4 linked regions of the Lonchura striata genome follow. The protein of the gene in region 1 interacts with the protein of each later gene in a biochemical or structural test. Links are inferred from orthologs where the notes say so. Each region holds a gene or a part of one and is shown in the gene's direction. Other genes may lie near its edges. The genes, in order: DLG4, FRMPD4, potassium voltage-gated channel subfamily A member 1 and KCNA4.

The links.
Region 2: the proteins of DLG4 (region 1) and FRMPD4 interact in a biophysical measurement, tested with the Homo sapiens proteins (2 studies listed by IntAct, with this or other methods). The link is inferred for Lonchura striata from reciprocal best matches to the Homo sapiens genes DLG4 and FRMPD4.
Region 3: the proteins of DLG4 (region 1) and potassium voltage-gated channel subfamily A member 1 form a complex in vitro, tested with the Homo sapiens proteins (3 studies listed by BioGRID and IntAct, with this or other methods). The link is inferred for Lonchura striata from reciprocal best matches to the Homo sapiens genes DLG4 and KCNA1.
Region 4: the proteins of DLG4 (region 1) and KCNA4 form a complex in vitro, tested with the Homo sapiens proteins (8 studies listed by BioGRID and IntAct, with this or other methods). The link is inferred for Lonchura striata from reciprocal best matches to the Homo sapiens genes DLG4 and KCNA4.

The regions. Positions count from the first base shown.
Region 1 is NC_134636.1:1,785,971-1,793,471, forward strand, and holds the start of DLG4 (disks large homolog 4), read left to right. Parts: upstream 1-4,484; 5' UTR 4,485-5,570; coding exon 5,571-5,600; intron 5,601-7,501. UniProt on the Homo sapiens protein: Postsynaptic scaffolding protein that plays a critical role in synaptogenesis and synaptic plasticity by providing a platform for the postsynaptic clustering of crucial synaptic proteins.
Region 2 is NC_134604.1:98,557,575-98,564,547, forward strand, and holds the start of FRMPD4 (FERM and PDZ domain-containing protein 4), read left to right. Parts: upstream 1-3,968; 5' UTR 3,969-4,099; coding exon 4,100-4,188; intron 4,189-6,973. UniProt on the Homo sapiens protein: Positive regulator of dendritic spine morphogenesis and density. Required for the maintenance of excitatory synaptic transmission. Binds phosphatidylinositol 4,5-bisphosphate.
Region 3 is NC_134607.1:4,304,978-4,311,844, reverse strand, and holds the start of potassium voltage-gated channel subfamily A member 1, read left to right. Parts: upstream 1-3,863; 5' UTR 3,864-4,207; exon of another isoform or gene 4,208-4,443; 5' UTR 4,444-4,504; intron 4,505-5,278; exon of another isoform or gene 5,279-5,555; 5' UTR 5,556-5,725; coding exon 5,726-6,867. UniProt on the Homo sapiens protein: Voltage-gated potassium channel that mediates transmembrane potassium transport in excitable membranes, primarily in the brain and the central nervous system, but also in the kidney.
Region 4 is NC_134608.1:61,417,342-61,424,740, forward strand, and holds the start of KCNA4 (potassium voltage-gated channel subfamily A member 4), read left to right. Parts: upstream 1-4,383; 5' UTR 4,384-5,085; intron 5,086-5,899; 5' UTR 5,900-6,677; coding exon 6,678-7,399. UniProt on the Homo sapiens protein: Voltage-gated potassium channel that mediates transmembrane potassium transport in excitable membranes. Forms tetrameric potassium-selective channels through which potassium ions pass in accordance with their electrochemical gradient.

The DNA.
Region 1 (7,501 bases):
GTCCCATTCCCAATTTCGGGGTCCCAAATCCCAATTTGGGGGTCCCAAATCCCAATTTGGGGTTCCCCTCCCCAATTTGGGGTCCCAAATCCCAATTTGGGGGTCCCCTCCCCAATTTCGGGGTCCCAAATCCCAATTTCGGGGTCCCAAATCCCAATTTCGGGGTCCCATCCCCAATTTCGGGGTCCCAAATCCCAATTTCGGGGGTCCCATTCCCAATTTTGGGGTTCCCAAATCCCAATTTCGGGGTCCCCTCCCCAATTTCGGGGTCCCATCCCCAATTTCGGGGGTCCCATTCCCAATTTTGGGGTTCCCAAATCCCAATTTTGGGGTCCCATCCCCAATTTGGGGTCCCAAATCCCAATTTCGGGGTCCCAAATCCCAATTTCGGGGTCCCCTCCCCAATTTCGGGGTCCCAAATCCCAATTTCGGGGTCCCCTCCCCAATTTCGGGGTCCCAAATCCCAATTTCGGGGTCCCCTCCCCAATTTCGGGGTCCCAAATCCCAATTTTGGGGTTCCCCTCCCCAATTTCGGGGTCCCAAATCCCAATTTCGGGGTTCCCATCCCAATTTTGGGGTTCCCATCCCAATTTTGGGGTCCCAAATCCCAATTTCGGGGTCCCAAATCCCAATTTTGGGGTTCCCATCCCAATTTCGGGGTCCCATTCCCAATTTCGGGGTCCCATTCCCAATTTCGGGGTCCCATTCCCAATTTCGGGGTCCCATTCCCAATTTGGGGTCCCAAATCCCAATTTGGGGGTCCCAAATCCCAATTTTGGGGTCCCAAATCCCAATTTCGGGGTCCCAAATCCCAATTTTGGGGTCCCAAATCCCATTTTCGGGGTCCCAAATCCCAATTTTGGGGTTCCCCTCCCCAATTTCGGGGTCCCCTCCCCAATTTCGGGGTCCCAAATCCCAATTTTGGGTTCCCAAATCCCAATTTCGGGGTCCCCTCCCCATTTTTGGGGTCCCATTCCCGATTTTGGGGCGCAGGCGCTCGGCGGCTCCTGGACGAGTTTCTGGGGGTCCCCCCCCGGCTCCGGGCCCGGCAGCTCCTGGGGGTCCTGCAGAGCCGCCTGTTCCAGGCCCTGCTGGGTGCGGAATTTGGGAATTCCGGGAAAATTCGGGAATTCCGGGGAAATTCGGGAATTCTGGGGAGAATTTGGGGGGGATTTGGGGGGAAAATTTGGAATTTGGGGGGCATTTGGAGGGAAAATATGGATTTTTGGGGGGTTTTTAGGGGATTTTGGGGAGAAATTCTGGAATTTTGGGGGAAATTTGGGAGATTTTGGGGGATTTTTGGGGATTTTTGGGTCATCTGGGGGGTTTAGGGGGGATTTTGAGGGGAAATTTGGGAATTTTAGGGGTTTTTTAGGGGATTTTGGAGGAAAATTTGGGGATTTTGGGGAGAAATTCTGGAATTCTGGGGGAAATTTGGGAATTCTAGGAAAAATTTGGGAATTTTGGGGTAAATTTGGGAGATTTTTGGTGAATTTTGGGGATTTTTTGGGGGATTTTGGGGGGTCCTGGGAGGTTTTGAGGGTCCTGCTGAGCCGCCTGTTCCAGGCCCTGCTGGGTGCGGAATTTGGGAATTTCGGGGGAAATTTGGGAATTTTGGGGAGAATTTTGGGGGGATTTGGGGGAAAAATTTGGAATTTTGGGGGGTTTTTAGGGGATTCTGGGGAGAAATTCCAGAATTTTAGGGGAAATTTGGGGAATTTTGGGGAATTTTGGGAAAAATTTGGCAATTTTGGGGGAGTTTGGGGAAAATTCGGGAATTTTGGGGGAGTTTGAATGGGATTTTGGGGGGTTTAGGGGGGATTTTGGGGGCAAAATCTGGAATTTTGGGGGGATTTAGGGGATTTTGGGGAGAGATTTGGGAATTTGGAGGAAATTTGGGAATTTTAGGTGAAACTTGAGAGATTTTTGGGGAATTTTGAGGAATTCAGGGGAAAGTTTGGGAATTTTGGGGGAATTTGAGTGGGATTTTGGGGGGAAATTTGAGGATTTTGGGGAGAAATTCCAAAATTCTGGGGAGAAATTGAAGAAATTTGGTGGAAATTTGGGAAATCTGGGGGAAATTTGGGAGATTTTGGGGAATTTTGGGGGATTTGGGGGAATTTTGGGTGAACTTGGGGGGATTTGGGGGATTTTGGGTGATTTGAGGCGATTTTGGGGATTTTTGGGGGATTTGGGGGATATTTTGGGGGGAATTTGGGTAATTTGGGGGAATTTTTTTGGGATATTTTGGGGAATTTTGGGAATTTTTGGGGATATTTTGGGGAATTTTGGGAATTTTTGGGCTCTCACCCCGTTTTTCCCCCCCAGACATCCAGGAGAGCTACGAGAGCTCCGTGAGCGGCCCCGAGCCCCGGCCCCGGGTAACCCAAAAATCCCCAAAATCCCCCAAATTCCCCCCAAATTTTCCCCTAAAAAAATCCCCACAAACCCCCACAAAATTCCCACCAAAAAAAATCCCCCAAATTTCCTCAAAATCTCCCCAAAAAACCCCAAAATCTCCCCCCGAATAAACCAAATCCTCACAAAAAAAACCAACCCGAAATCCCCTCAAAAATCCCAAAATCGCAACCAAAAAAACCCCCAAAATTCCCCAAAATAACCCAAAATTTCACCAAACCCCAAAATTCCCCCAAAATCTCCGCGTAAAAACCCCAAATACCCCCAGAAAAACCAACATTTCCACCAAAAAAACCCCAAATTACTCCAAAATCTCCACAAAAAATACAAAATCCCAAAATCGCCACAAAACCCCCCCAAAATTCCCCAAAATAACTCAAAATCCCCCAAAATCCACCCCAAATTCCCCCAAATAACCCCAAAATTTCCCAAAAACCCAAAATCTCCACAAAAAACCTCCAAAATTTCACCAAAAAACTCCAAAATTTCCCCAAAAATCCCAAAATCGCCGCCAAAAAAACCCCAAATTCCCCAAAATAACCCAAAATTTCCCAAAAAACCCCAAATCCTCACAAAACCTCCCAAAATTCACTCCAAAATCTCCCAAATTGCCCCAAAATCCCCGAAATCCCCCCAACCCCTCCCCCCCTTCCGCCCCTCCCCCCGCCGCTGCCGCTCCCCCAAAAATCCCAAAAGTTTCTCCCCAAAATCCCCAAATTTCCCCCGAAATTCCCAAAATTTCCCCTCAAATCCTCCTAAAATCCCCAATTTTCCCCCTAATCTCCCAAACCCCAAATTCTCACCCCAAAATTCCCAATTTTCCCCCTCGAATCCTCCCTGAAATCCCAAAATCACGAATTTTCCCCCAAAATTGCCCAAATTTCCCTCGAAAATTCCCAATTTCCCCCTAAATCTCCAAAATTCCCAAATTTCCCCCAGAAATTCCCAAATTTCCCCCCAAAATTCCCGATTTTCCCCCTAAATCTCCAAAATTCCCATTTTCCCCCCAAATTCCCCCCAAAATCCCCATTTTTTCCCCAAACCCCCCAAATTTCCCCCCAAAATCCCCAAATTCCCCTCAAATCCCCAAAATCCCGAATTTTACCCCCCAAAATCCCCATTTTTCCCCTCAAATCCCCCCTAAAAATCCCGATTTTCCCCCAAAATTCCCAAGTTCCCCCCCTAAACCCCAAAATTCCCAAATTTCCCCCCAAACCCCGAAAATTCCCGATTTTCCCCCAAAATTCCCAATTTTTCCACCCCAAATCCCCCCAAACCCCCAAATTTGCCCAAACCCCCCAAATTCCCGAATTTCCCCCCCAAAATCCCCCCAAATTCCCAAATTTCCCCCAGAAATTCCCGATTTCAACCCCCCAAAATTCCCCAAATTTCCCCCCAAAATTCCCCAAATTTCCCCCCAAAATTCCCCAAATTTCCCCCCAAAATTCCCCAAATTTCCCCCGAAAATCCCCAAATTTCCCCCTCCAAAACCCCCAAAATCCCCAAATTTCCCCAAAACCCCAAAATTCCCCAATTTCCCCTCAAAAAATCCCCAAATTTCCCCCTCCAAATTCCCGACTTTTCTGCCCCCAAAATTCCGCCCAAAATTCCCGAATTTCCCCCCCGAGCCTTCATCCCTCCCTCCTCCTCCTCCTCGCGCTGCTCCTCCTCTTCCTCCCCCCGGCGGCTCCTTCATCTTCATCTTCATCTTCATCTTCATCATCTTCATCATCTTCATCTTCATCTTCATCATCTTCATCTTCATCATCTTCATCTTCATCTTCGTCATCTTCATCCTCATCCTCATCTTCATCATCATCTTCATCATCCTCATCATCTTCATCTTCATCTTCATCTTCATCATCTTCATCATCTTCATCCTCATCCTCATCTTCATCTTCATCCTCATCTTCATCTTCATCATCCTCATCTTCATCATCTTCATCTTCATCTTCATCATCTTCATCATCTTCATCATCTTCATCTTCATCTTCATCTTCATCTTCCTCCTCCTCTTCCTCCTTCTTCATCCCCTCGGCTCCTTCATCTTCCTCCTCCTCCTCTTCCTCCTCCCGGGCCTTCCTCCCGCTCCTCCTCCTCCTCCCGGCCCCTCCTCCCGAGCCTTCCTCCTCCTCCCGCTCCTCCTCCTCCTCCTCCCGCTCTTCCTCCCTTCCCGCTGCCGCATCTTCCTCCTCCTCCTCTTCCTCCTCCTCCTCCTCCCCCCAGATCTTCATCCCCTCCATCCTCCTCCTCCTCCTCCTCCTCTCCATCCTCCCCCCCCCGAGCCTTCATCCCTCCATCCTCATCCTCCTCCTCCTCCCGAGCCTTCATCCCTCCATCCTCATCCTCCTCCTCCCGAGCCTTCATCCCTTCATCCTCATCCTCCTCCTCCCGAGCCTTCATCCCTTCATCCCCTCCATCCTCATCCTCCTCCTCCTCCATCCTGGTCCTTCATCCCCCCTCCTCCTCCTCCTCTTCTTCCCGAGCCTTCATCCCTTCATCCTCTCCATCCTCTTCCTCCTCCTCCTCCCGAGCCTTCATCCCCCCCCCCCTTTTCTTCATCCTCCTCCTCTTCCTCCTCCGGGGCCTTCATCCTCCTCATCCTCCTCCTCCTCCTCATCCTCCCCCCCTTTTCTTCATCCTCCTCCCCCTCCCGAGCCTTCCTCCTCCTCCTCCTCCTCCGGAGCCTTCATCCCCTCATCCTCCCCATCCTCCTCCTCCTCCTCCTCCTCCGGGGCCTTCATCCCTTCATCCTCCTCATCCTCCCCCTCTTTTCTCCCTCCTCCTCCTCTTCCTCTTCCTCCCGAGCCTTCATCCCTTCATCCCCCCCCCCCCTCCTCCTCCTCCTCCTCCTCCGGGGCCTTCATCCTCCTCCTCCTCCTCCCCCTCCCTCCCGAGCCTTCATCCCTTCATCCTCCTCCTCCTCCTCCCCTCCCTCCGGAGCCTTCATCCCTTCATCCTCTCCACCCTCCTCCTCCTCCCCCCCATTTTTTCCTCCCTCCTCCTCCTCCTCTTCCTCCTCTTCCTCCGGAGCCTTCATCCTCCCCATCCCCCCCCCCTCCTCCTCCTCCTCCCCCTCCCGAGCCTTCCTCCCCTCCTCCTCCTCCTCCTCCTCCTCCTCGCGCGGCCCCCCCGGCCCATGAGCGGCCGCCATGGATTGTTTGTGCATCGTCACCACCAAGGTACCCCAAAACCGCGCGGATTCCCCCCAAAACCGCCGCCGTTTGTTGGGGGGGGGTCTCGGCAGGATTCGGGCCGATTTTGGGGGGATTTGGGGTTTTTTGGGGGGCTCCTGGGGGTGGGGGGGATTCGGGGTGACTCGAGGGGGGGATTTGGGGGCTCCGAAGGGGTTTTTGGGGGGGCTCGAGGGGTTTTGGGGTGTTTTTGGGGGGGTCTGGGGGGGATTTGGGGGGTCCTGAGGGGATTTGGGGGAGATCTGGGGGTCTCGAGAGGATTTGGGGGGATTTGGGGCTCCTGGTGGGGGGGGGGGATTTTTGGGAGATTTGGGGGGGGGCCTCGAGGGGATTTTGGGGTTTTTTGGGGGCTCCGAGGGGATTTTGGGGGCATTTGAGGGGGTCTCGAGGGGTTTGGGGATTTTTTGGGGGGGTCTCGAGGGAATTTGGGGGCGTTTGGGGGGGTCTGGGGGGGGTCTCGAGGGGATTTTGGGGGTCTCGATGTGGCTGGGGGCAGAATTTGGGGCTCCAAGAGGATTTTTGGGGTCCTGGGGGGATTTTGGGGGAATTTGGGGGTCCCAAGGAGATCTTGGGGGGTCTCGAGGGGATCTGGGGGTCCTGGGGAGGTTTTGGGGGTCCTGGGGGATTTTGGGGGGTCCTGGAGGGGATTTTGGGGGGTCTGGAGGGAATTTGGGGGGTCCTGGGGAGGTTTTGGGGATCCCGAGAGGATTTTGGGGGGATCTGGAGAGATTTTGGGGGGTTCCGATGGATTTGGGGGGATTTTGGGTCTCCGGGGTTGATTTGGGGGGTCCTGGGGGGCTCCGGGTGAGATTTGGGGGATTTGGGGAATTTTGGGGCATTTTTTGGGGTTCCTGTGGTGGTTTTGGGGCAGATTTTGGGGGTTTGGGGGAGAATTTGGGGGGTTTTCCGACCCCTGCTGGATTTTGGGGTTCCCGGGGGGGATTTGGGGGTTTTTTGGGGGTTTTTGGGGGTGGGGGAGGGGCGGTGTCCCCCCAAATCTCGGGGGTGTCACCACGTGGCGGCCGCGGCGTTTCCCATGGCAACGGCGGGGGAGGGGCGGCGCACGTGGGGGCGGGGGGGGGGCCCCAAAATCCCGCCCGGAACCCCCAAAATCCGCCCAAAAAATCCCAAAATCCGCCCAAAACCCCCAAAATCTGCCCAAAAACCCCCAAAATCCGACCAAAATACCCCAAATCCCACCTGAAATCCCAAATCCCGCCCGGAACCCCCCAAAATCCGCCCAAAATACCCCAAAATCCGCCCAAAATACCCCAAATCCCACCCGGAACCCCCCAAAATCCACCCCAAAAACCCCAAAATCTGCCCAAAAAACCCCAAATCCCGCCTGAAATCCCAAATCCCACCCGGAACCCCCAAAAATCCACCCCAAACCCCCCAAAATCTCCTGGAATTCACCCTGAAACCCCAAATCCCTCCCGAAATCCCAAATCTCGCCTGGAATCCCCAAAATACACCCAAAAAACCCCAAAATTCGCCCAAAATACCCCAAATCCCTTCCAGAACCCCAAAATCCCGCCCGGAATCCCCCAAAAGCCGCCCCAAAACCCCCAAAATCTGCCCAAAAACCACCAAAATCTCCTGGAATTCACCCTGAAACCCCAAATCCCTCTCAAAATCCCAAATCCCGCCTGGAATCCCCAAAATACACCCAAAAAACCCCAAAATCTGCCAACCCCCCCCCAAAATCCTCCCCCAAAACCCCAAAATCTCCTGGAATTCACCCTGAAACCCCAAATCCCTCTCGAAATCCCAAATCCCGCCTGGAATCCCCAAAATCTGCCCAAAACCCCCCAAAATCTGCCCCCAAAAAAACCCCAAAATCTCCGAAAATTCACCCTGAAACCCCAATCCCGCCCAAAATCCCAAAT
Region 2 (6,973 bases), on another chromosome or scaffold:
AGCTGCTAAGGTGCAGTGAAGAGTCTCCATTTAAGATTCTCAGTGACAGATTCTGTCATAAACTAATCTTAATTATATTTATGTTTACCTGTTTCCTCTGTAACTTAACTGCATTATGAAAAGGTTCCTTATTTTTCTGTTAGTAGCAAGCTATCCAGTAATAGCAGACTTGCACGTGGCACTGATGAGTAAGTATCATTTAGGTAAACTAAATATATTTAGAGACACCTTTCATAGTTGTTAGCATGCTATATTTAGAGAGCAAGAGCTGAGTGATGGATTTAGGTAGGGAGGTGTAGGAGAATATGGCTAGAAATTTAAGTGAGGAGTCATCTGTAGCAGTAGCTAAGAAGGGCCTTCAGTGATGATAATGCATGTAAAATCCTTCAGAGAACATTCTCCCTGCTCTTCTCATGGTCAGGGGAGAGAAAATGGCTCTTCCAAAAGGGAGTTCACTGCCCAAGAGAGATACTAGTTTCTGCATCCCATTCCTTGGAAGAGTCACTTTTTCTGTGTCAGCAATAGATCGGGCTAGAGGGGACAAGCGTCACTAAGCCAAAGATTGCTTTTCTGAATACCTCCCACAGGCTCTCTGAGGGCAATGTTCAAGTGAAATATGTATGGAGCATTTTGGATTTCTAAGAGCTGTCTGCTGTCTTTGGGCTTGCTTGGACTTCAGAAGAGATAGGAAACAATGCAGTGGAAATGTGCATATATGAGACCAAGTGGGAAAAATCATGGCATAAAAATTTTTATTCCTTCTTTCTGAGGCTGTCTGTAACATCCTTTTCCATATTGCCAATATGTCTGAGTGTTTGACAGCATTGAAAACCTGGGTTATTTAAAAAACAATCCTTAAGGAGTTTAAAATTCATTGTCTATTTAAAAAGCACAGTCATAGGGAAGGAAAGGAAGGGGAGTGGTGAATGTATGTGGATCCTGGAAGCAGGGCTGCAGAAAGGGCAAATCTGTGTCAGGCTTCTGAAGAGGAACCTTGGCTGATGTGAGTCGTGGTTGGTTTAGAGGGCATTTGCTAAGAGAAATGGTATAGCAAGGGGTGGTGGTACATTTAACTGGGCTGGATCATGGCTTCAGGATGACTTTGTTCCCTCTGTTTTCACATAAACTTTTAGTAGTTCTTAACTTTGCTTGTGATCATTGGTTGCCTCTTCAGTAAAACAGGTGCATCTTTGTTGCCCTCTTAGTTCAGATAAATAAGTTTCCATAGTTTTCTATGGAAAACTATAGTCTGAGACCAGATAACTTCACACTTATGTGTGTTCACATTTCCCCAACAGTTGGAGTCAGCAGTGGCAAGTGTAATTGGGTAATATTTTTGTATAAATTGATTTGGTTTTCAGTTTCAAGGAGGTTCCAAAACAATGAAGCCCTTCAGAATAGCACTGGATTTCATAAGGATATAACATCTCTGCCATCTGTTCTTTAGTGATAACTGATATCTTGTGAAACATTTTTATGACACAGCTATTGTTTTCTTTTTATTTTATAATTTTGTTTTATTTTCTTCAGTTACAGAGCACTGAGCATATTCTTGAAACTAGTCTGTGCCTTACGAGTGTGTCCTGTCTGATGGTACATCAGAATCAGAAATGCAAAAGGTTTCTATCCAGTGCCTGCTTTTTCTCAAAAGATAGGAGCAGCTGCTTGAGCAGTGGACCTCTTAGCCAAAAGTCAAATATCAACCCCTTAAGCACTGTTTGACAGGGATTTGGCAGCTACAGCCATCCTGAAGGGTAAGTAGAGGACAAGAAAGGTGAGAAACGTTGCCCCCTGGTCCCCAGGGTCATGAAGAGCTAGGTGTGTAGGCAAAAATGAGACTCCTGGTTCCTGAGGGGAGAACAGACTGTGATCTGTTCTCTACACATTGGGATGTGCTTCCTGTGCTGCTAGAACTGAGAGCATCCATATTTGAAGGGGGAAAAGAAAAAACATCCCAAATACTGTTAAAAGGAAAAAGTAGGTGTATATAGTAGATAGCCCTGTACCTCTTGATCTTTCAGCATAGCTAGAGATTTTATTCCCTTGCTTCATGCATCATGCCTGGAGCTAATGGCCATGTGTTGTTGAAGTTAAGATTTCTGTGAAATGGCTCTTGCTACCACAGTGGTGCTGTCACTAAGGAGCTGCTCTGACATCTGGCCTGTCCTTTTAATTCCCAGTTTGCTGGATGTGCAGGGTGTGACCTGAACAGGCTTGTTACTGAATGTCTCCTGGATGGAGATGGTCTTTGATGCAAACAGTTGTGCTACCTTGCAGCTGAGGCAGTTGGGTGGCCATGGGAAGAGTAAAATGAGATAAGAGTACAGATGAGATAATCTGCTTATTTAATAATTTCTCAGCAGAAATTTGAAAACTAGAAAGCAGCAACTAGCTGATGACCTGGATGCTTAGGAAAGGGAAATATTATAGTCTAAAAGTCCAAATATACTGATGGACCAAATGGCCTTCTTGCTGTAAAAAGAAAAAAAAAAAAAAAGAGAGAAAACAAAGAAAAAAGTAAAATAAAATTTTGATAATGCTGATAGATGTTACATGTATATGTATGAGGAAAATATCCTTAGAAGAATTTATGTTCTTCATCATTCCAGTCCAAGGAGCTGTTCATTTTCTCCAGCCTTCATAGCAGCAGTAGTATTTCAGTGTTTCTGATGTATTTTTCTTCCATCACATGCTATCCAGTGCCAGATTTACAACCTATGCCAATGTAAGTGACTAGGTACTGTTTCTTCCCACTTCCTCCCAAAATGTATATCCTAAATTTGCCTTCTGGAAAACCTTGGTGCTACAACTAAATATGTTGAAACAATAGATATGAAATAGATAGTGAGGGGACCACTTAGCTCACCAGTTTATTTGGGGTTTATGCTCTGTATTGTTTCCCAGCTGAAGCAGGCAGATATTTAGTGTGTTCCACATTCAGGTGTGCAAATAGAGCAAATAGTTCCTTCAGCAAGAGGAGGAAACCGGGTTTGGGTATAATCTGGTTTACCTGGTGGATGTAGTTGGGTTGTTTTTTTTTTTTCTTTGTCAAAAAACACATTAACAACTTAAACAAGAGGTGTCTGGAAATAGCTATATGTGTGCTCCATAGTAAATTGTAGCGTTTCATCAATTGAATGTAATTGGTAAGCTGTTATTTGAGAGAAACAGACACAGAGGTTTCTCCTTAGCAAATCAGCATTTTGCATGCACAGCATTTCCTTCAAAGATCAGTTTTTTCAACTACCATCCATTTCAAAACACATCATAACAATACAATTCACCAGGGTAAGTCTTTGTTATATGAGGAAACAAAAATAAAAATGTGCCTTAGTTTACTTTGTGGGAATTTCTGTGGTCAGAAATGAGAGTAGGAACCAGCAGTCTCTTTGGGAGTTGTGAGCTCAGGCATTCGATCAGTTGGAAAAGATACTCACAGATGTTAAACCTTCAGGCATCCATGCACTCCATTTGTAACTTCTCTATTAATGAATTTGTGATGATTATACAATTTCAATTTGCCAGAAGAAAAAAAATGGGCTACAATTCCTAAGACGCTATTGTGTTATTCTGGTGTCTTTCACTAAAATGAAAAGCCCTGCATCAAAATGCAGGGTTGTCAGAGGTCTTTCGAGAGTAGATGTGCAACAAGGAAAATATAGAATGAGAGATTAAATGACAAGTGTAGTTTCTTGAAGGAGCTCAATTTCCTTTTCTGAAGAGAAATTTTCTTCAGGATTTGAAATACTATTGCAGCATAGCTACTTGGCAGCTTGGCTTGTTCGTGTGTTATGAGAATGATGCTAATAATTCCTACTGACTGCTGTGACCTCTGCTGGAGGGAAAAGAGTCCATTTCCTTGTAGCCCTTTCTCTCAAAGCCTGATAACATATTCTTAATTTATTTATTTACTACCTGTTTGTTCCCTGCAGCAAATTTCCCTGCCTGCCAGGTGGCTGAGGTAATTTACATTGTCATTTAATTCTTGTCATAGATGTAGTTCAAAAACAAATATCTGATGAAATTTTTAACCTAACACGGCTTCGGTTCTACGGGTGTATGCTTTGTATTCTTTGTGGGGCTTAATTTAACTTTGCCTATGAATGTCTGCCTTAATGTTTACATCCACAGCTACATTTCTGTATTTGTACAACACGCCTTGCTCCGAGCGTTCAGAGATGTCAATGTGTAAGTCTGGATTGCATCACCTTTCTGAGTGCATACCCTGAATCTGCAGTCAGATCTACTCAGTTTGAAGGCTGCTGTTGCAGTTCTGCCTCCATTTAGTTGGAAACTACTGACAGTGGAATCATTTCAGAATAACAGATCTTTGGCTTCAGACTGTGAGGATAGCCACTAATTATGTATTTCTCATTCTTCGGTACTGCAAACATTGGTTTACATTTTGACTTTATGCTCCAGTTCACTAATTAGATTCCTCTTTAAGAAGATGCATGTTTAGTATCATTGTTTTGGAAACATTAAGAGGTTTGGGGTTTTTGTTTGTAGGGTGGAGAGTTTTTTGAGGAGTTTGTTTGTGATTTTGTTGTTGTTTTGCTTGGTTTTTTTTTTTTTTTTTTTTTTTTTTAACATGGAGGACTTTTTGCTGTATCTAAAGCAGGCCTGTCACTGGCTTCAGATCAAGAACTGTCCTTTGCTGTGTTGGCTCTGCCCCAGAGGGGTTGTAGTGTGGAACAGCAGTGAGCACACCTGTGCCTTGTTTTTGCAGGGACTCCAAGCAGTACATTGCAGCCCTGTTGTGTCAAACAGCCAAAACTTTTTGAGCTCTGACCCAAAAAGCATGACTCAGAGTTCTGCTTGCTAGCTCTCAGCAGCCTAGGAGGAGCTTACTAGAGACACACGTAGGGCCACGTGGTGTTTGTTCTCAGCACATTTGTGGGCAGTGTTGTTGTGGTTTGGTTGTAAAAGCAGCCCCCTCAGATGGGGAAACAGGTCAGCAGAGTGCCAGGTTTTGGGTGCGAGTGGGAGGCTTTCAGGGAGGAGTGTGAGATGGAGTTAGCTGCAGCCTTGGAATCTCTGCCTGCTCCTTTCTTCTGGTGAAATGGTGTCTTTCTGTGCCAGCTTAGCTGCCTGTGGTGAGACATGCAGACAAACCAGGTGTTGGAGCCACAGCTGTGACACTGGCAGAAGATGAAAATAGCTGGGAGGGACAAGCCACAGGATTCATGTGATGCCTTAGGTTCTTGTGTGTGGGAGGGAGGGAGCTCAGGGTTCCTGTTTCTGTCATGTCTCTAGGGGCTGGAGAGGCAACAAAAGTTGATGTAGAATGAAGCTTGAGTAGAAGAATCCTAAAGAGGAAAGTTCTGGGAAAAGGGAAGGCTTCTGCAGGACATAAAGTAATTTGGGAGGAATAACAAATGAAAAAGTCTAGATAACCATAGTTTTTTTTCCCTTCAACTTAGCCTGTGTTCTAGCAAACAGCACAGAAGAATCAAAACCCTCAGTATTTCAGAAGGTCAAAATCTAAATTAATGTACTGGGCAAAACCAAAATGGTTCCATTAATGGTGCTGAAAGTATGATCGTCTCTTGCTGGTTGGATTGTTTAAAGGTCTTAATATACCTTTGCTGTTTAGAGGGGCTGTGTTGGCATCTCCATCTTCTCTTGCTCCTTGACAGGCAGATTTTACCAAGCTTACTTCTTCATGTCCAAGGCTTTGACGCTTAGTGAGGGAAGCACTTAAACTCTTGGAGATTATCATTACCATAGTGTGGCACATGGAGAGGAATTTACAAACCTAGAGTCTGTGGTTCTCATCTTTATTGATAGACAAGAATTGATTATAAAAGAACTTCTATGCTATTGAAATTAAAGTTATAAAAGCAAATTCCAGAAGTGGAAACAAATATAACAGTTAAAAAAATAATATATTTTGAAAAAGCCCAAACTTTAGAATCAGTTCTGGGTTTTTTTTTACTTTTTCTATAAAATCTTTATCCTTATTCAAGGGAGCAGTGGAATTTGAACATAGTGATATTTACATAGTAAAGTGTCAAGTTATTTCCTTTTCCTGTAAGATTGATATAATTGATATTTCTATTATCAGGGGAAAAAAGTCTAGCTGCCTGCTTGACATCTCATCATCTCCTTTAAAAATCTTCTAAAGACCTTGTGACAAAAGGCAGTCTTAAGAATCCTAGCAACCACTTATGGATGATAAGATTTATTCTATTGTGAACTTAAGTAGAATAGAAGAAATACAATGGTTGTTGAAATAGGAATGGTGATGTTTAATATATACATCACCTCTACTGCTTTTTTGGGGAGTGGCACTCTTCCTGTAACCAGTCTCCAGCTGCCTCATACTGAGGCAGCACTCTTTGTGTAAAGTATTTAGTTATTCCTTTGTATTCACATGAGTACTTCTCCTTATGTGGAAATCTGAAATACCACTGAGTGGAGGAGTCCTTACAGCATCCATAGGGACAGGTTGTGATTGCATTTCTATGGCTGGTGAAAACCTGAAATGGTGGTGGATGCAGAAGAGTTTGGATCACCTGTACTTAGGGTAATACTAAAATATCTAGATGGCAGCCAGTGTGAGTTTTGTAGTGCCAGCAGTGCAACTTTAAAGCACCTTTAAAGACCAAAGGGTTTGGTTTTTTAAATTATTGTTTGCAGTATTTTCTCTTGGTGTGTTGTGACATTACAGACCCAGGTATGCAATCCTTAGGACTCCAGTGCTGCCCACTTTTCTCCAAATTACATCTCTGTGGGAGTAATCCAAGAAAGATAGAAGGAGGACTTTCTTCTTGATGGAAAAGGACTGAGTTTCTGCATAATCACTGCAATATTCCTTTGTTTGAGTTGTAGTTTGAAGAAATACTTTCACAGGTCCTGTCTCACAAAAAACAATCATGGTTATCTTGACTTCCAAAACTGCTTGTGTACTTCCAGAATGAAGGGATAACATTTCTCATGTTTAGTTGTAGAGTTTGCATCTCTTGATTTG
Region 3 (6,867 bases), on another chromosome or scaffold:
CCTCCTCAGTTGTTCCCTTCTCTGACAGTGGTGCTCACTCCTCCTGACATGGGGAAAGGTCACTCTCTGCTCTCTGCACTTGGTGGCCAGCAGCACTCTTGATAAATATGTTCTTGCTTTGGTGTTTTTATGAAATCTTGTACTAAATCATCCAATTATGGGAAGCCAAAAGTGGCTCCCATTAACTAAAAAGTCCTGTGTGTTAAAAACCTGAATATGCTCAGCAGTGGATTGGCACTTTGTTTATATATTTATATATATTTTGTTATCTATTATATAACTACTTTTGAGGAGGACAGAAGAAAGCTCAACCCCAACCTAATAAAGAACATTTTTTGTTCTTCTCTGCCCAGCCATTCTGTGTTGCCACACTCTGCACCTTTCCAGCCTGCTGATGTGGGATGTAGAGGCAAGGCAGGGACATCTTTTCTCTCCAGGCTGGTCCAAATGGCACAACTATCATATGAGTGAGGGCAGTTTCTGTTTCCTTCTTCACAGGGATAACTCCCAAGCTCTTGTCTTCCTTCTGTGTAGCAACAGGTCCACTCCTTTTTTGATCACAGAGGGCCCATTTTTAAGGCTTTAAAAGGGAACGGGAGAAAAAATTAAATTATATAACAAGAGGCAACCAAAGTAATTGTCATCTCCCATCAGCTATCAATATTCTTTGAAGCATGAGATTTGATTATCCTGGTCACAAAAAATGCACAGTAATACTGAAGGATATTAGCAAAAAGATTAAAAGCTTTTAAAGGATTCTTTGTTGCCCTCGAGGAAGAAAACCCAACTGTCAACACCACAAGCTCCCCTTTGGTTCCATCTGTTGACTCTTTCCATTTTATGAATCCAAGAAGGATTGACAGAGCCTCTGCACCACAAACTGGGGCCAGAACATCTCACTTTATCCTCTGCCTCCCAAGGCCATTAAATGAGGTGTGTGATGACACCTGCACAACTCATTGGTGGCTTCAGGCAGCTCAGAATGAAACTATAATGTGTCCAGGTTGGTTTCCAGGCTTAGATGCATTGGGATTACAGTGCCTGTGAGCATCCATAGTATTCAAGCAACCAGGACATCCTTTGCCACTGGATTTCACAATGGTTTTTATCTCACAAAATGTCTCTTTCAGGTGAGGAAATTTTGGGGGGCATTCAAGACACTTACGGGAATGATGCCATGCTCAGAAATCCACTGTGCTTCTGCATCCATTGATTTCAATCAGGATTTTCCAGGTTCCCTGCTGACAATATTAAAAGCCTGTTTCACTGTATAAAGCCAATGCTTATTTTTTTAAACCAGTTTCAGAGTCACATTCATTCAATACAATTTTTTTTTAAATCTTCACATCACACAAGATTTTTTAATAAACAACTTGATTCTTTCTTTCAAAAAAAAAAAAAAAAAAGAAAACAACAACAAAAAAAATCCCCCTTGCTGCTCTTTCTCATCACAACAGTACCACCAGACTTCCCACCACAAAAAGCTGCTCAAATTTTTACAATTTTTAGTTTCCTTTTGAAAAAATTTTGATCCTGAAGAGAACTTCTCAGTGTGGCTCTTTGGGGGGGTGACCAGTTCAGCTGCTGCTAATGTAGAAGGTAGAAAATAGAAGCAGCCTGACTTTGAATTTGGCAGCAAGCTGGATTCTCCTTCCATTCCTCAACATTTAATTGAAGCTACTTAGCCCTATAATGTGTAACATACGACCTTCTTGCAAGCCCTAGTTACACTGTTCATTAGTCTGTGTACTTTAACCAGATTTTATTGACCTATGGCTAATAGCCCACTTAGAAAGATCCCTCCCTTCCCGTGTGACTGCTTGTCAGTAATGGTAGTTAGACTGCAAAGAGAAATCCCACAGTCCAAAGCTATTCAAAATGAGGAGAGGGGAGAGCAATATCCCAATTTGTGCTTTTGGTGCAATGGGAAAGCTAAGGTTGCTATCACTCCTCTTTTATTTCTGTGCACACAGCTCCCGACGAAGATTTGGGTTCTGCTGTGCTAAGGCAGCTCTCAGAAGCCAGCAGCCTAAGGAGCTGTGACAGGCAAGGAAGCACTTTACAGTCCTGTTTTCCAGATGCAAAAGCAGAATGTGTAGCCCTGCCTGCAATCCTGCAGAAAGCCAAGGGCAGAGCAGCACCGAGAGCTCGGGCCTCTGCTTGTCAAATCTGCATTTTCAGCCCAATCCAGAGCATCCTTTGGGCTGGGACAGGGGGACAAAGTGCTCACTTCCAGAGCTCCTTCTGCCCAGCAGCTCTGAGCACAGCGAGTGCAGAGCTCCCAGAACTCTGCGCAGCCAGCTGTGGCAGCCAGGCATGCAATTCACTGCCATAAGAGGAGGTTGACAAGAAGGCTGTCACTGGGCTTCTCAAGGGGTTGAAAAACAGCCTGGTTGGTTTAGCTGATGGGAATAGCCTTTTGTTTTTTGGGGGTGTTTAGATTTTGCATGGTCCAAGGCTGGGGGCTGATGCTGAGCTGCTGAACTTCAGACAGAAAATTGGGCTTTATTTTTCACTGGAAGAAGACTCTCTCTTTTTGTTTCGTGTTTTGATTGTTTCACCTGGGAGTGGCAGAGGCAGACATTTCTCTTGCCCACAGCTTCACCAGAAGTTTCTCACAAAACTTTCAGCATGTGTGATACTAAAAAAAAAAACAAACCCAAAAACAAACAAGCAAACAAAACCCAAAACAAACAATAGCAAACCCCACCCTTGTACCAGGCTAGACAGGAGATCTGTTTGTTTCTTTGCACTTATCTTTCCACAGGGATGGTGAATGCAGCATGCTAACTAGTGATCGAAGCACTGCCAGGGGTAGAGGTTTTTAAAAGGGTTTTTGCTCTGGTAAAAAAAAAAAAAAAAAATAACCCACAACATCATCAAAAAACTTCACCCCAAACAACAAAACATGGGCATAAGTAAGGGGAAAGGAAGAAGAAACAGAAACCACCAGGAAGGTCAGGTGGTTAAGTATTTTTGGACTTCCAAGGTGGTGATCTTAAGTGAAGTTAATGTATTATGCAGTGGAAAGCTAATGAGACCAGGTCTGTTAAACACGGACTTGGTGTTACTCAGCTCTTGGAGCGCTTCAAATTACACAGGCACGGGTTGGATTTGATCACCGCTGCCGCCCTGACAAAGCGAGCAGCAGGCTTTTATATAATGTAAGCGATCAGACACTGTGGGCAACAATCCTGTGCTGGCAGGGGAGGCCAGCTGATGACATAATGGGTCTTTTCCACCTCGAAGTTGTGCGATTCATCAATTAAACAACTTCGCTGGGATAAAGCAGTATGGAAGGGCACTGTCCCTGCCTGACCATTAACCCTCCCAATTCCAGCCACTCCGCTCGGGATTTTTAGCCTCCACCAGCGTGTCGGGAGGTTCCGGTTGTGCAGCCTCCTTCGGTACCGAGGCGGGCCGGGGCCAGGGGGATCGGGAGCCGCAGCCAGGCTCCGTGCGGGATGCGCTCTGTGCGGGATGCTCGGCCCCGCTCCGTGCGGGATGTGCGGCCCCGCTCCGTGCGGGATGTGCTCCGTGAGGGATGCTCGGACCCGCTCCGTATGGGATGTGCTCCGTGCGGGATGCCCGGCCCCGCTCCGTGCGGGATGCTCGGCCCCGTTCCGCCGCAGGTGCTGCGGGGGGACCGAGCGCTGTCCCGCCGTCCCTGGGCGCGTCGGGAAGCGGCTGCTCAGCGCACCTGAGCGGGCTGCCCGTGGCTCCCGTGCCGGGATGCTGCCGGCTCCATCCCGCAGCCCCATCCCGGAGCCGCCCGCATTGCGTCGGGGGCGCGGCGCGCAGCGTGCGGGGGCGGCCGGCCCGGGGGCAGCGCGCATCCCTCCCTCCTCCACCGGCCCCGGCCCCCGGCTCCCCCGCCCTCCCGGTCCCCGAGCTGCACCAAACAGCTCTCAGGTTTCTGCTGATGCTGCAGCGTCAAGAAATGGCTGGAGTTTGCTCCTCGCTCTTATGCGTTCAGCAGCCCTGTCCAGCTCCTGCCTCCTCCTGCCTCCGCCGCTGCTGCTGCCGGGACGAGCCAAGCCCGACTCCGGGGATGCGGCTGCAGGGCTGCGGCGCTCTGACATCTCCGCCGCCGCCGCTAACCAGCGCCCGGCTCCTTTTCCAGCTGTCCTAAGGGAGGAGAGCTGGACAGCCAGCAGCTATCTAAGACTCCTTGATTTTACTGACTAACTCAAGCCTTTTGGAAAAGGTACTTTGCGCTCTTTTCCACTCCACCCCCCACTGCGGTTCTCGGCAGAAACTAATTAAGCCCACTCGCCCTTGGTGCAGCCTAAGACAGTGTATGAATATTTCAGTGTCTCGCAGGCAGCCCTGTAAAGCGATCGCTGCGTTATAAAGAGGGGCGCAAGAGGAGGAGGGTTAAGTTTGCCACTGCGGTTTTTGTTTTGTTTTGGTTTTGTTTTTTTTTTTGGATGCTGCTGCAAGGCGACTTGACGCATTCCGGCACTGGCTCCTACTCCTAAGCGGCGCGTCTCACCCGGAGCAGGTAAGGAAAAGCCCCTTCTCCCTGCCGATGTTCCACTCAATTTTGGACGCTTTGGGTCTGGGATGTCGACCTCCCTCCCCTTGTCTCTCTCTCAGTTACCTTTAGCTGCTGCAAAGCAGGAGAGGAGATGCTTTGCTCTCCCCCTCCTAATCTCCCCCCCCCCCTCCTCCTCCTCCACCGCCACCCGGTTGGTGTGATGAAGTTGTCAGTGCTCAGCTAAGTCTCCAGAGCGGGGAGCGCGGTGCTCGGGAGGCTCCTTGCAGGAGCTGACCCCGCTGAAGTTTCCTGGGAAACCCTCCCGATGAGTTCGGGGCACCTTCCTGCCTTGGAGGCCTTGGTGCATGTCCGGGGATGTGTAGGAACGCGTAGAACTCCGCATGTGCTGCCGTAGTGAGCAGAACGGGATGTTCCTGCTGGTGTGAAAGCCAATCCATTGCGCCTGAGTGTGTGTGTGTATGTGGAGGGGCTCGGGGGCTGGTTTATTCTGTTTCTCTCCTCCCTGGCAGCCCCCATTCTGCAAGTGAGGTTTAAGCCTTCGAAGCAGAGTGTTTCCATCCCTCCCTCCCTCCCTCCCAAGCGCAAAAGAGGAGAGGACCAGGGCAGTGGTGGTGGTGGTGGGAGTCGGGAAGGAAGAGGCAGGTGATGGAAAATTTGCTGAGTTGGCATTGCAAGGACTCGCCTCCCAGCCAGCCCGTGATTTATATATTTATTTCTATATTTATTTATTTATTTTATGTGTATGTGTGTGTGCGTGTGCATGTGTGTGTGTGGTAGCTTCGTGGCAGCAGCTGCGGCGATGGTCGAGCCAGCGAGAAAAGTGGACGGATCGAGTTAAAGGCTAAAGGAGACGGCTGGGGAGGGGAACCCCAGCCTGGGGGTGCACTCCATAGACCTTCAGCCTCCCGGTGTGGGGGACAGGACCCCTCACCTTACCTGCCCTCTGCCCCCCCTAAAGGTACTTCTTCCCTCTTTCTTCACCCTTCCATCGTCCCTGATGCCTCTCCCTTCATCCCGCCTCTCATTTCCCCTTTTGGGTATTTCCATCCCTTAGGCTCCACTTCCACCCCTTCCTCAAGCTCCCCATCCCACCTTGACCCCCTCACCCTTGCATCGCCCTGGGTCTCCCTGTGCTCCTCCATCCTCCTCCTCCTCCTCCTCCTCCTCCTCCTCCCTTTCCCTCACTTCTCCCCTGCCCCTTGGTCCCCTTTCCTCTGTGCCACCATGACCGTGATGGCTGGAGAGAACATGGACGAGACTTCTGCGCTACCTGGCCACCCCCAGGATAGCTACCAGCCCGCTGCCCACGACGACCACGAGTGCTGTGAGCGCGTGGTGATAAACATTGCGGGGCTGCGCTTCGAGACGCAGCTCAAGACTTTAGCCCAGTTCCCCAACACGCTGCTGGGCAACCCCAAGAAGCGCATGCGCTACTTCGACCCGCTCCGCAACGAGTACTTCTTCGACCGCAACCGGCCCAGCTTCGACGCCATCCTCTACTACTACCAGTCCGGGGGGAGGCTGCGCCGGCCCGTCAATGTCCCCCTGGACATGTTCTCTGAGGAGATCAAATTTTATGAGCTGGGCGAGGAGGCCATGGAGAAGTTCCGGGAAGATGAAGGATTCATTAAAGATGAGGAGAGACCCTTGCCGGAGGGGGAGTACCAGCGCCAAGTGTGGCTCCTCTTTGAGTACCCAGAGAGCTCTGGGCCGGCAAGGGTTATTGCCATAGTCTCTGTCATGGTGATCCTCATCTCCATCGTGATTTTCTGCCTAGAGACATTACCTGAGCTGAAGGAGGACAAGGAGTACACAGTGCACCGCACTGACAACACCACCCAGGTCTACAAATCTAACATCTTCACAGACCCCTTCTTTGTTGTGGAGACCCTGTGCATCATCTGGTTCTCCTTTGAGCTGGTGGTGCGCTTCTTCGCTTGCCCTAGCAAGACTGATTTTTTCAAGAACATAATGAACTTCATTGACATTGTGGCCATCATCCCTTACTTCATCACCCTGGGCACCGAGATGGCCGAGCGGGAGGGGACTCAGAAAGGAGAGCAGGCCACTTCCTTGGCCATCCTGAGAGTCATCAGACTGGTAAGAGTCTTTCGAATCTTCAAACTCTCCCGACACTCTAAGGGCCTCCAGATTTTGGGACAGACCCTCAAAGCAAGTATGAGAGAGCTAGGTTTACTAATCTTCTTCCTCTTCATTGGGGTGATTTTGTTCTCTAGTGCGGTATATTTTGCTGAGGCTGAAGAACCTGAGTCTCATTTCACAAGTATCCCTGATGCTTTCTGGTGGGCGGTGGTATCCATGACCACTGTGGGCTATGGTGACATGTACCCTGTGACAATTGGAGG
Region 4 (7,399 bases), on another chromosome or scaffold:
TGGAAGCTGCATCTGACTGCCATCAAATTATGAACCATGACACCTGTGTGCCTACTGCAGTTACAGCCCTGAATCTTTAGCAGGAAATGTTCTAGTCCAGTAAATTTATATTTATCATCTAATTTATGTGTAACAATCTCTGTAAGTAGAGCTTTCTAGTATGGTTTGGACTGCTACAACTACAATGGTGTATTTTGACTTGCAGTCTGATCCTACAGTTCCCTCATCCATGTCTTCCTTTTCTTAAATAGAAATCATAAAACATATTTATTAGAAATTTACCATCATCTATCTTCTAGAACTTCATAGAAATATCCTTTTTTTGCTTATAAATATATATGGGAGCTACATTTAATGTCATACTTAACATCTAAATTTTCTCTCTTTATGTGCTTCTTCACATAACAGTTTGCTGCTGCATGTTCTTGGAGCATGAGATGCCAGAAGTTCCAGCTAACAATTATTATATATTTTAACAGGAATAGTTTTGAGCTCTTGTCATACACATGTTTCTTTCCAGTTGTTCCTCAAGTCACGGTTAGCATCATAAGGCAAATTTACATTAATTATTATCCTACTGTCTGCTTTTTCTGCAGAATATTCCTTATAAAATCCCAGGGAGAAATAAGTCTACTATGCCCTCGTAATGCTTTTTGATCTGGACAAAAATATATGCAAACAGGGATTTTTAACAGCATCTGATATTTCCAGGTTTTATAATCATTACGTTTTCTGTCAGCATAGTTGGAAAATTGGGTATTCAGAATAATACATTTATTCTTAAATGCAGAAATAGAGCAAATCCAATGATATGGTAATTTAAGTAATTCTGTGAGGCTAATTCATCTCCTTCATGATTTAATTAAAATAACAGTTTCCAGACTGCAGATCCACCCTTTTCACTACTACTAGGCATATCTAAAAGAAGGCGCAGTGAATGATCCAGGTTCTCCCATTTCAGCTAAAATCAAATTATTAGGAGAGAAAAAAAGAGAGGTGATAAATAACCCTTGTTATACTGGATAGAAAAAGGATGTCAGCATTATGATTGATGTGGCTGTGGGTATCTTGGAAATCTGGTTTCTCATTTAGCAGCTTTCTCTCCAGACTACTCTTTTTTTTTTTTTAAATTTTTCACTATTGTCGTTTTTCAGAATAGACTTGATATGAGTCCCTGTTTGCTCAGAATGAATGGAGAAATATCCAAGTCCAAAAATAGAACATACGTGGTATTTTTATCCTGTTTTCTGAGTAAATCCAAGCTCTGGTACAGGAAATCATTCTCCCAGTAAAAATATCATCAGTTTTTACTGCTGTTCATCCTAAACTCAGTGGTAAATGGCCATGGTTTTGCAAACTTTCCCTGAGAAAATATGAAAGGGCTGCTGTTCTCTGGAGCATCAACTTCCTTGGATTATCCTGCTGAAGCACAAGGAATGAACAGATGTGCTTTTCATACAGGTTGTGTGGAAGAACTAGACTGAGGATAGGCTGCATTTTAGTCTGCCAAGTGTCTCATTAAACACTGCCAGTCATATTCAAAAGAAGAGTACTTGAGCCAGATTCTTTGACAGGAGAGTCTTACAGAGCCTAGTTAGTAAAATATGAATAAAATATGAACTTCCTGAAGTTCAATTCAACAACCGCTGGGAGACAAAACTTATTTGTGGAGGCAAGAATTCACTGCTATACTTTGGTACCTAAGGGTCTCCAGCACTAAACAGCTGAGAGGAGAGGGAAATGCAAGTTCTGAATCATGTCTCAGCACATCTGAAATGCTGTAGTGACCAGTCTTTTCACCTGATAATCCTGAGCTCCCACTGCTGCAAGGTTTTGCTTGTTTTGAAAGGAGCCCCCAATCTTACAGGACCTTGGATGTGTTGCCTTGGAGGGGAATAGAAATAACAGTGAAGCAAGCCTAGGGAAGAGCAGAAGAGCAAAAAGAGAAGGCTAAAAGGAAAGTAGAATTATTCATGGTCTGGAAGTGCAGTAGTACTGTAGTTCAGTCTTATTCACTGCAGAGATTACAGCAGGGAGGTGAGGGCTGGACTGAGGACAGACCCTGCCAGTGTGAATTTCAGCATAAATTAATATTGGGCATAGGAACATAAAAGAACTTTGTAAATCTCATGTTCCCTTTGCATGGAAATGTATTACGTCGTTGTGCATTTTTTCATAGCTAACCAGTGGTGCATATTTCTCACCTGCATCACAGTAAAACAGGACAAACCTGTGTGACAGAGATCTTAGAGATTCTTTACTATGATACAACATCTCTATCAAAGATAGTGATGTGCAGATATTCTCTCTTTGTTCTAATAAGGGATAATGATATTATCCCTTATCAATGTGAAGGAGCAGAGGAAATGTAATAGCTCTCAAATAAAAACTGTTCTCTGAGTACTATGAAAATAGAAAGCTGAATGAAATGAGTCAAAGTATTTATCTGCATATACTTAAAGCTTGTTTTTTGCTTTTAAATTAGTTAAAAATTGGATCAAGTTAGATCTCTGAGCTAGATTGAAATGCATGTGGTTACGTGATCCCTATTACATTAGAATGGATTTTAAAAAGCACAAAAAAGCCTTCTGCTTCTCCCATTGTCAGTTATGTGTGTATCACGTGTGCATAGAATCCTACACCACAGTTTGTTTATCTTTGCCCGAGAACATGCTTTAGCTAATAAAAACAAAATAACAGTGCTCAAAAAGGAATACCAAAGTGATTGGTCTGTTTCTACTTGTCTTTTTCACTCAGATGTCCACTGAAAATTTCATTTTAACAGTCACAAGATAACGTAAGACCATGCATCTGAGATTTTGAAAGAGAAGTAGAAGGTAAATAAGTCATTATCTTTTATCCCAAGTCCTTGAAACATCTCAAAAAAGAAATAAAAGGGTGTTCAAATTCTACAGATAAAGGGCAACAAAAGATTTGTTAGGGTCGAAATGACTGAGCTCCGGAAAATGCCCCAGAATTAAACTTTACTGATGAAGGAGTGAGTCTAGGTGATCCTAATGATTCCATAAGTTTACCTATGATAACTGGTATTTTTATGGCTTCATACATGTCCTTGTGTTGAAGTGATGGTAGGGGTTTGATCCATGACTTTGGTATGCCCCTGTGCCAGGTTACAGAAGAATCTGAGGTTTGGTATTAGAAATTAATTTATAGATGTTTTTAACTGTTTTTGAACCCAGATTTTGGGTTGCTTTTGTGCTGACAGGAGACAGTATTTTAATGGTGTTTGGGATGACATTAGTGATTTATTATATTGACTATGGAACCTGAAGTATTGTGAATGTTAAAAAAAAACAGTTAGCTCTAGGTGCTATTTATGTGTTTCACGGCACTGTTGGCACGACTTGGTGCCTGGCAGGCAATATGTTGATTTGGCTGATCCCCTATGCTCCCCTAAATAGTCATAGGTCATCCACTGACATGAGTGGGATGAAAGGTATGGGCAATAACTGATGTAGGCAGCAGAAGTACATGGATAATGTGGGTTGTGCTGCTGGGGATCTAAAGGGAAATAGCCACTGGGCTCTCTTGGTTGCTCTATGGAGGAGGAGCTAGGTCATGAGAGAAATGCCCAACCTATTTGCTGCACATGTTGGATTTGTCTCCAGTTGCAAACCCTTTGTGGCAAAGTGTCTGGTGTTGGCGCTGCCTTTGATTGCTTCTCGATTCAGTCTTTTTCTCCATGAGGGGAGTGCTTGCAGTTTGTACTGAGGTGGTAGAATTGGAGGTGGAGGGTCAAATATAGCCAAGCTGTATTTCCATGGCCATCCCTTACAGGGAGTGGAATGTGCCACAGCTTCAGTTTTCCAGGTGCAAAAGGAACAGGCAGTCTATACCCTGCTCGTGCTGCAGCGGGGAGAGGGAATTTGTTGCAGGATTTGAGGTGTTAACTCCCAAACACAAAACGGTACCCTCTAGCCATGAACTAGGTAGGACCTGCTTTCTGTTCAGGCACAGAACTAGGAGTGAAAGTTGACTTGGCTTCATTTGCGACAGGGCTGCAGGAGCAGAAGGAATGTTTGCTCGGCTCGGGGCCGAGCGAGGCAGCGCCGTGCAGGTGCGGGCACATCTTCTCTCCTCGTGCCAAATTTGATCCGGGCTTGGCTTTGGAATTCTCCGAGCGACCTCAACAAAGCGTTTCGCTTCCTTCGGGGCGCGCCCAGAGCAGCAGAGGCCGGTGCTGGCAGCATCGCTCGGGGCGGACAGCTATCGACTCCGGTAACGGCGGCGTTAACAGGGCGCGGGGGCAGGAGCCGTGCCGAGCCGAGCCGTGCCGTGCCGAGCCGAGCCGGCGCAGTGCGGGCGGCGGCCGGCAGGGGCCGGCGGCGGGCCGGGAGCGGCGGCAGCGGCGGGCGGCGGCTCCGGAGCAACAGGGCCGGCTCGGAGCGCCGGGGGCGCGGTGCCGCGGACTGGCCCAGCTCCCGGCTCCCATCATCCGCCGGCTCCCATCTTCTCCCGGCTCCCATCCGCTCCCGGCTCCCATCATCTCCCGGCACCCTCGGCCGCCAGCAGCGCCCGCCCGCGCTCCGGCCGGCGGCTCCCCGGCCGCGTCGCCCCGAGTGGGAGCAGCCAACAAGTGGATGGAGCGGGCGGCAGCCGGCTGAGCCCCGGACGTGCCGGGGGCAGGCGCCGCACGGAGCCGGCCCCGTCCTGCGTCCGCCGGAGCCCGGCTCCGCGCACGGATTTAGCCAGCGCTGATTTACGGAGCTGCCGCCCGAGCCGGGCTCGCCGGGACCGGCGGTCGCGCCTGCTCCGCCTCGCACACGCCAAGCACACGCACACCGCCTTCGTTTTCCCCGTGGGGACGAGACCCTCGCTCCTTGCCTTGTGGCCGATGCCGAGGCGAGCGGCTGTGGCGGTGCGCGGTGCCCCCAGCCCCGGCCGCCTCCCCGGCTCGCTGCCCCGGCAGCCGGCTGGAAGGGGCAGGAATAACCCGCCAACCTGTGGTGCGCACTGACCACAGCCACCTGCGAGCGTGGAGCAGCCGGCACAGCCCCTCCGCGCTGCTGTCCCCCGCTCCTTACACCAGCGGGAGCAGCGCTGCTATTTCTCTGCCTAGGATCGGTAAGTATAACGGTGTTTTTAGGCTTTTCTTCTGCATGACATGTAGGTACGATTTGAAAAATAGCGTCGTTTAATAGTTCGCGTTCACCTTCTCTGGTGTATTAATAGATGTGGCTATAAATGAGGCTTCTGTTTCAAAGGGGGGTGTGAGGGGCTGTGGGTATTTTTGTGTGTGTGCTTGCATGTAGACGTTGCTTCAGTGCACCTGCAGTTGTTTTCTTGACATATCAGGGTATTTTCACTTGGCTAAGCATTGTACGTGCCCGTTTCCAAATTAAATCCAGTGAGATGTTCATTGTGACCGAAACACAATTCTGCTGTGGATTAAAATGTAACATTCCCGCATCTGATGCGTTTCTGCAAATACAACAAAAGCTCTTTGTCAAGATACATTTATTCTTTAACGTTTCGTATGGATACATGGAGGTGTATCTCTTACGTATGTGCTCAAAGACCTGAATGCATTGTGCGTTGCAGTATTTTTATTAGTGTTTATATGTGTTGGTGTTTCAGAAGCATGCATATGTTTGTGTATGGATGCAAGTGCTTGTATGGGTGGGGATTTTGTATCTGTCTCTATATATATGTGACATACCCACCCACATCCTTACCCACAGAGTCGTTCAAAATCTCTGTGCATGTGATGTGGGTGTGTGTGTAATGTAGAAGTGTGAATAGTGTGGGCAGGAGAAGATTTGAATGCCATGGTAATAGATGACACAGTTTCATTTGATCGGTTGACCTTTTAGGAAAACAATCCAATCTTTTCCCTTTTTGTTTTGTTTATTTTTGTGTGTTTGTGCATGTGCCTCAGGTTAAGTGCTTCTTCTGCATGACCATAACCAAAGGGTGACCCATCCACTCCCCTGTGTCCCATGGGGACCTCAGAGCCAGTTTCTCAGTCTTCATCTCCTCCTCCTCCTCTTACCACTGCTGCTGATGCCCTGGGTGCTGCTCCCAGGTTTGAGACATTGTTGACAGGCTGAAGAATGGATTTGTAAAGACCTCCTCACTGTGTAAATGAAGTGATGGCTGGAATTAACTTCAACTCTCCAAGTAAGGACATTAAACAATACGTTTGCTAGGCCAAAGCATTACCAGGAACAAATAATGAGCAAAGAGTCTATTTGCATTTAGTTTTAATGATGAGCTAAAACTGTCTGCGGAGAACAGGTACCCTTTGGTTTGCATATTCTTTTCCTGAGGAATGCAGCCTTTATAGCCTGCGAGGCAGTCGTGATTCTGATCAGATACAGCTGTGATGGCTGCAGGAGATAAATGAAAATAAAGGGCCTTGGTGGATGGAAGAACAAGGTCTCAGCTGTTCTCTGGTCCGATCTGAGAATTTCATCTTTTCTCATTAGCGAAGCAGTAGCTTGTGTCAGACGTTCTGGAGAAGAGGAAAATGCGGATGTGTGGTTTTCCAAAGTACAGATTCAGTGTTGTGACCACGTTGCCACACTTGATGCGCAGCAGACTGTCCTCCAAACGCAAATGGCTTTGAACTTCCCAGCGAAGGTCGCGGTGGTGCTGTAAATAACGCAAAACCCTGTTACGGCCAGCGGTTACGAACAAAACCAAGCAGCTGCAGGATGGAGGTCGCCATGGTGAGCGCGGACAGCTCCGGCTGCAGCACCCACATGCCCTACGGATACGCGGCCCAGGCACGGGCCCGGGAGCGGGAGCGGCTGGCGCAGTCCAGGGCGGCGGCGGCGGCGGCTGTGGCGGCAGCCACGGCGGCGGTGGAAGGTGGGGCGGCGGGCGGAGGGGGACCCTACCACCACTACCACCAGGAGCAGGCCCGCGGGGCCTCCTCCTCGCACGGCGGGAGCGCCTCGCGCAGTGGCCTGCCCTGCCGCCAGAGCGGTAGGAGGAAGAAGGGCAAGAAGAGGAGCCACCGCTTGGGGAGCAGGGAGTGTGGCGCCTCCTTCCCCTGCTCCGAGCTGCTGCCGCTCAGCGGCTCTGAGGAGAGGATACTGAAGGACTTGAGCGAGGAGGAAGAGGAGGATGTAGATGAGGATGAAGATGACGAGGAGGAAGGGAAGCTCTACTACAGTGATGACTATGGGGAGGATGAGTTTTCATACTCGGACCAGCCACCCGATGACGGTGGAGGCCCCGGGGGTTACAGCTCCGTCCGCTACAGCGAGTACGAGTGTTGTGAGCGCGTGGTGATCAACGTGTCGGGCCTGCGGTTCGAGACCCAGCTGAAGACGTTAGCTCAGTTCCCGGAGACGCTGCTGGGGGATCCGGCCAAGCGGGGAAGGTACTTCGATCCTCTCAGGAACGAGTACTTCTTCGACAGGAACCGGCC